Xenopus tropicalis: one gene and its partner. The protein of the gene in region 2 purifies or fractionates together with the protein of the main gene of each other region. This does not show direct contact. Links are inferred from orthologs where the notes say so. Each region holds a gene or a part of one and is shown on either strand. Other genes may lie near its edges.

The links.
Region 1: the proteins of ptpn18 (region 2) and pstpip2 purify together in Homo sapiens (affinity purification with mass spectrometry; 4 studies listed by BioGRID and IntAct, with this or other methods). This does not show direct contact. The link is inferred for Xenopus tropicalis from reciprocal best matches to the Homo sapiens genes PTPN18 and PSTPIP2.

What each region holds. Positions count from the first base shown.
Region 1 is NC_030677.2:206,691,037-206,694,852, forward strand, and holds part of pstpip2 (proline-serine-threonine phosphatase-interacting protein 2), read right to left. Parts: intron 2,548-3,816; coding exon 2,470-2,547; intron 1,623-2,469; coding exon 1,588-1,622; intron 399-1,587; coding exon 292-398; intron 1-291. UniProt on the Homo sapiens protein: Binds to F-actin. May be involved in regulation of the actin cytoskeleton.
Region 2 is NC_030684.2:706,973-710,650, reverse strand, and holds part of ptpn18 (tyrosine-protein phosphatase non-receptor type 18), read right to left. Parts: intron 3,523-3,678; coding exon 3,448-3,522; intron 3,380-3,447; coding exon 3,317-3,379; intron 2,488-3,316; coding exon 2,345-2,487; intron 1,671-2,344; coding exon 1,604-1,670; intron 1,519-1,603; coding exon 1,441-1,518; intron 1,296-1,440; coding exon 1,209-1,295; intron 903-1,208; coding exon 817-902; intron 1-816. UniProt on the Homo sapiens protein: Differentially dephosphorylate autophosphorylated tyrosine kinases which are known to be overexpressed in tumor tissues.

The DNA of each region.
Region 1 (3,816 bases), on a different chromosome or scaffold from region 2:
CTGTGGGATAGCAGGTATAGTAGGGAGAGATGGTGCCTATAGTAGCAGTGGGATAATAGCCTCTGGGAAGGGACTGGGGCTGTGGGATAGCAGGTATAGTAGGGAGAGATGGTGCCTATAGTAGCAGTGGGGGGATAATAGCCTCTGGGAAGGGACTGTGGCTGTGGCGTAGCAGGTATTGTGGGGGCTGGGGTAACTGCTAGCAAGATGGGCAATTACACTGATGTTTTTCCTATGAAAAATAACATTCTATCCATTCCTAAACATTAAAGCTGCTTGCTCTCACTCTACCTTCTTTCTCTCCTGCTTTTGCCGTTCCCTGAATTCCTCCATCTTTCTCGCCTCGTCCCGTAGCGTTTGTGCCAGCTGAATGTGACACTGACCTATATTATCAATTTCTACAGAAACAAATGACATGAAATGATCAGGTATTTCCCAGTAACATTAGCTGACCGAAGGTAATTGTACAAAAAAATATTTGAGTAAAGAAAGACCCTGTAAAGAGGATATTGTAGATGGTATATACAGTAGAACTCTTCAGATCTCTTTCAGTTTGAAAGCAAGCATCTGATTGGTTACTGTAGGTTACTAGGTGAAAACACTCTACCCTTTATTACACCATCACCTAGTATTGGCTCCCACAGGCTGGCACTGGTTGGCCCATTGACACATACTGATTGGCTTTTATTTATCTCCTCCTCTCCAGCTACAGTATCGGATTCCTACAGGTCATGCACCCTAGCAACCAGCCAGGGGTTTAAATGAGATAAAACAGGGTCAACGCAGATGAAAAGTTATATAAATAATAACAAAAAATAACAAAAATGCACATTCCTACCCCAATAAGTTATAGTTAAAGGAGAAGGAAAGGTACAGTCACTGAGGTGGGGAAAATGTTATGCACCCACAGTGATTGTAATCGCTTACCTTATACCCCGGGGTATAAGGCTCGTCACTAAATGGCGGCTCAAGGGAAAGGATGTAAAAGGGCAATATTTACTGATATATATATTCCAGTTTGGGGAGATTCTTTAGTAGGTTATTTGGAGGTATAGTTTTCCTTTAATGAGACCGTCCCCTCTCGTAGTAAGCGTGACAGCCAGTAGGGTTCTTTCCTGTCCAGTTAGAAGTGTCTGGGCCTATAAGTTCCCCTATTTTCACTTTATTTTCAGCTTTTGCTGCTTCAGCTTCCTGCGCTCTTCCTTCTGCTTGTGGCGAGGAGCAAGGGACAGAGGCCGATGACGAAATAAAGATTCAGGGGATTTATGACTGCCATGTACACTCGCTTGACTACCATTTGCCGCCTTTCTGCCAGCCGGGAGCATTTGCAATTAAACCCCTCCCTCTCGCTGTGACTGGCGACTTGCAGATAAGCACAGATCTATTAACCTGGGGGCTTATAAGGCCAACAATTGCCCATGTGGGGGCTTCAAACAACCCACATTTTTCAATGTTTAGTTCTGACCAATGAGTAATATCCAGACATATTTGATATGAGGCAAAGGGGAATTAATTCCCAGGAAGCCAATATATGAGCGTAATTCCATATCTCCCCGTAGGCATGAAGCTTGCTAATGGGGTACTTACGTTGTTTAAAGACATCAAGGGATCGCTTGAGGGTGCTGGGGGGGAAGACACAGAAGAGACCATTAGACTTGCATTAATAAATTACAACCAAAGTCACTATAAATATATTATTGCTACTTTTTCTCTTGATGTCCAGTGTCAAAGTCCCCTTTAAAGGGGAGGAGCTTAAATACACAGCGCTTATGATGTCACTGAATAATATCTTGACATAGTAATGTCTGCGTTGAGCTGAACTAGAGGGATGTCGCAACATTCCTTAGTTAACCCCCAGCCAGCGAGTAGGTCAGACAGGATTGAGCAACAGTACTGCATTTGGATCAGTCGCAACCCACGATGGACTTGAAAACTCAAGACCGCCCTCTCCCATGATGGGCATTTTATTGTGCATTAAAATATGTGCAAGGGCAGAAAATTGTAATTCTAAGCATTTATTGCACATTCTCACCGAGTTCAATGTAATTGCTATGGGAAGGCATATCTGTCTGTCACTGTTGTATTCTCTGGGTCCGACTCTTGAAACAATATAGCAGGAGTTAGTTCTCCTACAGGTCTGTTCATCACCGTCACATCTCTGTCACATTGTTTCAGGAGTCAGAACCAGCAGTGCAGAGAATACAAACAGCCAGACAGACGCTGTTCACATTCAAAACCATAGAATTGTTATATTAATGTATATGGGAAAGAGGCATTTTTATTGTGCAAAAAGCAGTGTTTGTCTGGAGTTCCTCTTTAAAAAAAAAACATATTTCGATATTTACAGGGTTCCAGCAGTGTGAGTAGCAATGTTTCCTGCTTCCGGCCCTGGCCTGATTGTGATCTCACCACGAGAATGGACAGCGCAGAGTCAGACACAGACAGATGCAAGGGCAACGGGGCACTTACTTTATTTCCGTCTGTCCACATGGCTTCTTCTTGGTCAGGTTAACCAGTTCCTTCCCATACTTCTCCTCTATGCTGGCCCTAGAAATATATGAAACACTTGAAAATTTTTACAAGATGGGGAAATATTAATTCAGATAAAGAGGAAATTGCAAAAGCTTAGCCAATCAGGGCCTCCCCGGGTTGATTGGGCCCCCTCCCACCACACCAAAGCCATTAGTGCAACAGTGCAAACCAGCATCCCTGCATTTCTCCCAGGGGCCCCCGATGTATTTGCACCCCCAGCCCCACAGTGCTAGTGGCACCTTTCAATTAAACATTTAATAAAAATGTTTTTAATGTTATTTGTCAATGCAACTTCAATTGAAAACAGTATCTGTCCCTTTCTGCACTGCTGGTTCTGACTCCTGCCTCTACTTGAGATAAAACGTCAATTCTGCCATTCATGCTGCACGACAGGTTGTTCACCTTTATGTAAACATTAAGTATGTTATAGAATGGCCAATTCTAAGCAACTTTTCAATTGGTCTTCGTTATTTATTTGTTATCGATTTTCAACTATGTCTTCTACTAACTCTTTGCAGCTTTCAAATGGGGGTCACTGACCCCGGCAGCCAAAAAACGACTGTTTTGCAAGGTTACCAGTTTATTGTTATTATTACTTTTTATTCCTTATCTTTCTATTCAGTCCCTTTCCTATGCATATACTGTATCAGCCTCTCATTCAAATCCATCCCTGTTTGCTTCCCCTTTACTGGAGGTGTAAATGCAAATGTCACAGGGCACTACAGCCACAAAGCAAATGTTCATTTTATCTGCCATTTCTCCTTTATTCTAAAATAATTCATTAATGAATGATATATGAATAAAAATGATATCATTAAGAGATATTAAAGCAACAAAAGCACCCAAATCAATAAGCGGAAGGTAAATAATCAGCAGATAAGAGGCAAGCAATATAATAACAGGGGCTATTGGAGTATACATGGGTTCTATTCTTGCCCGGCCAGACCAGAGATGCCTGGGTTCCTCCGCGGGCTCTTGTGTTTCATTTATAAAGGGGAACTAACAGCTGCATGTCTCCGGATGGAGAAATAATTTTAACATAGACAGGCCAGACTGGCAATCTGTAGATTCTTGTTTTGGCCCAGACAGCCTGGTTTTCAAAAGGGCTGTCTAGGTCAAAACTGCCTGCCTGGTTTTTCAGATAAGCAAATCCACACAGGCCTCCCCTTGATTGACACAGGGATTGGCTAAACGCTTTGGGTCACCCCTCAACCCTAATTCTGGAAAATGCAGGGGGGCTGCTCTAAGAGTTGTAGCTGGAGGGTCTGAAATTGGACACCCCTA
Region 2 (3,678 bases):
AGCGCTCTCTCTGCACTGACACCTTCCTGAGAGCTCTCTCTCTGCACTGACTCCTTCCTGAGAGCGCTCTCTCTGCACTGACACCTTCCTGAGAGCGCTCTCTCTGCACTGACACCTTCCTGAGAGCGCTCTCTCTGCACTGACTCCTTCCTGAGAGCGCTCTCTCTGCACTGACACCTTCCTGAGAGCGCTCTCTCTGCACTGACTACTTCCTGAGAGCGCTCTCTCTGCACTGACTCCTTCCTGAGAGCGCTCTCTCTGCACTGACACCTTCCTGAGAGCTCTCTCTCTGCACTGACTCCTTCCTGAGAGCGCTCTCTCTGCACTGACACCTTCCTGAGAGCGCTCTCTCTGCACTGACACCTTCCTGAGAGCTCTCTCTCTGCACTGACACCTTCCTGAGAGCGCTCTCTCTGCACTGACTCCTTCCTGAGAGCGCTCTCTCTGCACTGACACCTTCCTGAGAGCGCTCTCTCTGCACTGACACCTTCCTGAGAGCTCTCTCTCTGCACTGACACCTTCCTGAGAGCGCTCTCTCTGCACTGACTCCTTCCTGAGAGCGCTCTCTCTGCACTGACACCTTCCTGAGAGCTCTCTCTCTGCACTGACTCCTTCCTGAGAGCGCTCTCTCTGCACTGACTCCTTCCTGAGAGCGCTCTCTCTGCACTGACTCCTTCCTGAGAGCTCTCTCTCTGCACTGACACCTTCCTGAGAGCGCTCTCTCTGCACTGACACCTTCCTGAGAGCGCTCTCTCTGCACTGACTCCTTCCTGAGAGCGCTCTCTCCACTCTAGCAGATAGCTTTCTCGCACTCACCGTGCCGGGGGCTTCTTCCTCTGGGGGGGCAGTTGCCGGAGGGCGCTCAGTACTGATGTGGCATCGTCGTACAGAGGAGATTTATCCTGTAGGGACAGACAGTGGCTCAGAGTAGATCACAGACTGCTGATCACTGCACTAATTTCAGCCAATCAGGAAGTCTCCACCCCTTCCTGTTTTTAGGAGATGAAACCAATGTGTCTTTAACCCTCTGTGCCCACAGCTACTCACTGAGGCACATCCCCCACGTTACTATGGAGACTGCCGTGTCTTTAAATATCTCCCCCATTGGCACAGACTGCTCCTGTAGCTGCAACTTGGGAGTCATGTGATTTTGTGCAGCAGTGTGTACGAGGCCATAGGCGCCCAGCTGTCCTATTCCCTGCACTCACCTCCTTCAGATTCTCATAGCAACGGCTGGTCTGCAGCTCCTTGTCGAACATCTCTGTGACTGCGTGGTACAGAAACTCATACTGCTCCTGTGGGGCGGGGGGCACAGTCACCATGGTGATATGGATAGCAGGGGGGGCAGGGCAGAGTGAAGGTAGAGGAGGTACCTCCATGGCAGGTAGGGAAGGGGGCGGAGCCACGTATGAGGTGGGTGTATCGGTACCAAGTACCTACCTGGGTCTGGACCGCAGAGGGTCTCTGGCGCCTCATTTGCAGCACGGCATTGAATATACTGAAATCAGCCGGGACCCTCTGCAACATAAGAGCGGGGAGATGCAGAGAGGTGGGGGGCAAAGCTGGGGGGGTGCATATTAGCCCCGCAGGGGGGGGCACTTACCTGCCGCTGCAGGAGGCTCTGGATATACTCCACCATACAGATTACCCCAGTTCTGCCGCAGCCCGCACTGCACAAAGAGCAGAACCCAGTGTGACTCTGGGGTAATGGGGGGGCATTAGGGGGTGTCGGGGTAAGAGGATGAAGGAAAGAGCAATGAGTACAGTACAGGATACAGGAATAGATTGCAAGCTGTATGGGCAATGGGGGGGCATTAGGGGGTGTCGGGGTAAGAGGATGAAGGAAAGAGCAATGAGTACAGTACAGGATACAGGAATAGATTGCAAGCTGTATGGGCAATGGGGGGAGCAATGAGTACAGTACAGGATACAGGAATAGATTGCAAGCTGTATGGGCAATGGGGGGGCATTAGGGGGTGTCGGGGTAAGAGGATGAAGGAAAGAGCAATGAGTACAGTACAGGATACAGGAATAGATTGCAAGCTGTATGGGCAATGGGGGGGCATTAGGGGGTGTCGGGGTAAGAGGATGAAGGAAAGAGCAATGAGTACAGTACAGGATACAGGAATAGATTGCAAGCTGTATGGGCAATGGGGGGGCATTAGGGGGGGCAGGGTAAGAGGATGTTGGAAAGAGCAATGAGTACAGTACAGGATACAGGAATAGATTGCAAGCTGTATGGGCAATGGGGGGGCATTAGGGGGTGTCGGGGTAAGAGGATGAAGGAAAGAGCAATGAGTACAGTACAGGATACAGGAATAGATTGCAAGCTGTTGAGCCGCACCTGCAATGCACACACAGGGGCACGCGGCTCTCTCGCTGGTACTGGGGCACAAGCTGGATCATCTCCAGGAAACAGGAGTAGGAGTCGGGGATCCCACGGTCCGGCCACGCCACGTACTGAAAGTGGCTGATGTCCCGCGACTCCTGCACCAAAGAACCAAAGTGTCCAACTAACTGCCGTAGCCCCCTCTAGTGGCCAACTAACCGCTGTAGCCCCCTCTAGTGGCCAACTAACCGCTGTAGCCCCCTCTAGTGGCCAACTAAGCGCTGTAGCCCCCTCTAGTGGCCAACTAACCGCTGTAGCCCCCTCTAGTGGCCAACTAACTGCCGTAGCCCCCTCTAGTGGCCAACTAACCGCTGTAGCCCCCTCTAGTGGCCAACTAACCGCCGTAGCCCCCTCTAGTGGCCAACTAACCGCCGTAGCCCCCTCTAGTGGCCAACTAACCGCTGTAGCCCCCTCTAGTGGCCAACTAACCGCTGTAGCCCCCTCTAGTGGCCAACTAACCGCTGTAGCCCCCTCTAGTGACCAACTAACCGCTATAGCCCCCCCTAGTGGCCAACTAACCGCTGTAGCCCCCTCTAGTGGCCAACTAACCGCTGTAGCCCCCTCTAGTGGCCAACTAAGCGCTGTAGCCCCCTCTAGTGGCCAACTAACCGCTGTAGCCCCCTCTAGTGGCCAACTAACCGCTGTAGCCCCCTCTAGTGGCCAACTAAGCGCTGTAGCCCGTTCTAGTGGCCAACGAAGCGCTGTAGCCCCCTCTAGTGGCCAACTAAGCGCTGTAGCCCCCTCTAGTGGCCAACTAAGCGCTGTAGCCCCCTCTAGTGGCCAACTAAGCGCTGTAGCCCCCTCTAGTGGCCAACTAAGCGCTGTAGCCCCCTCTAGTGGCCAACTAAGCGCTGTAGCCCCCTCTAGTGGCCAACTAAGCGCTGTAGCCCCCTCTAGTGGCCAACTAAGCGCTGTAGCCCCACTTACCTCCCTGAAGGTGACCCTGAGTTTTCGGTAGATGACCTCGGCATTGACTCTGTTCTTCTCCAGCTGAAAGGAAGGAATGGGGTCAGCAGAGGATTGTGGGTCCCGGCTGATAAGGAGTTAATGGGACTTACCTTGCTGATGGTGAATGGGCCAAACTGGGCCGGCGTGGTGGCATCATCCAGGGGCCAGTATCGCTCACACTTTCTCTAGGGGAGGAATGGGGATATATAAATACAGGAGAAGGTGGGGCCCTACAGTACCGGCCCAGGGGCGTGGCCAATCCTCAAACAGGAAGTGAGGTCACATCTGGCATAGGAGCTGATGCTTTTGTGCCACTAAGGGGCTGTGGGGGCCCCGGGCTG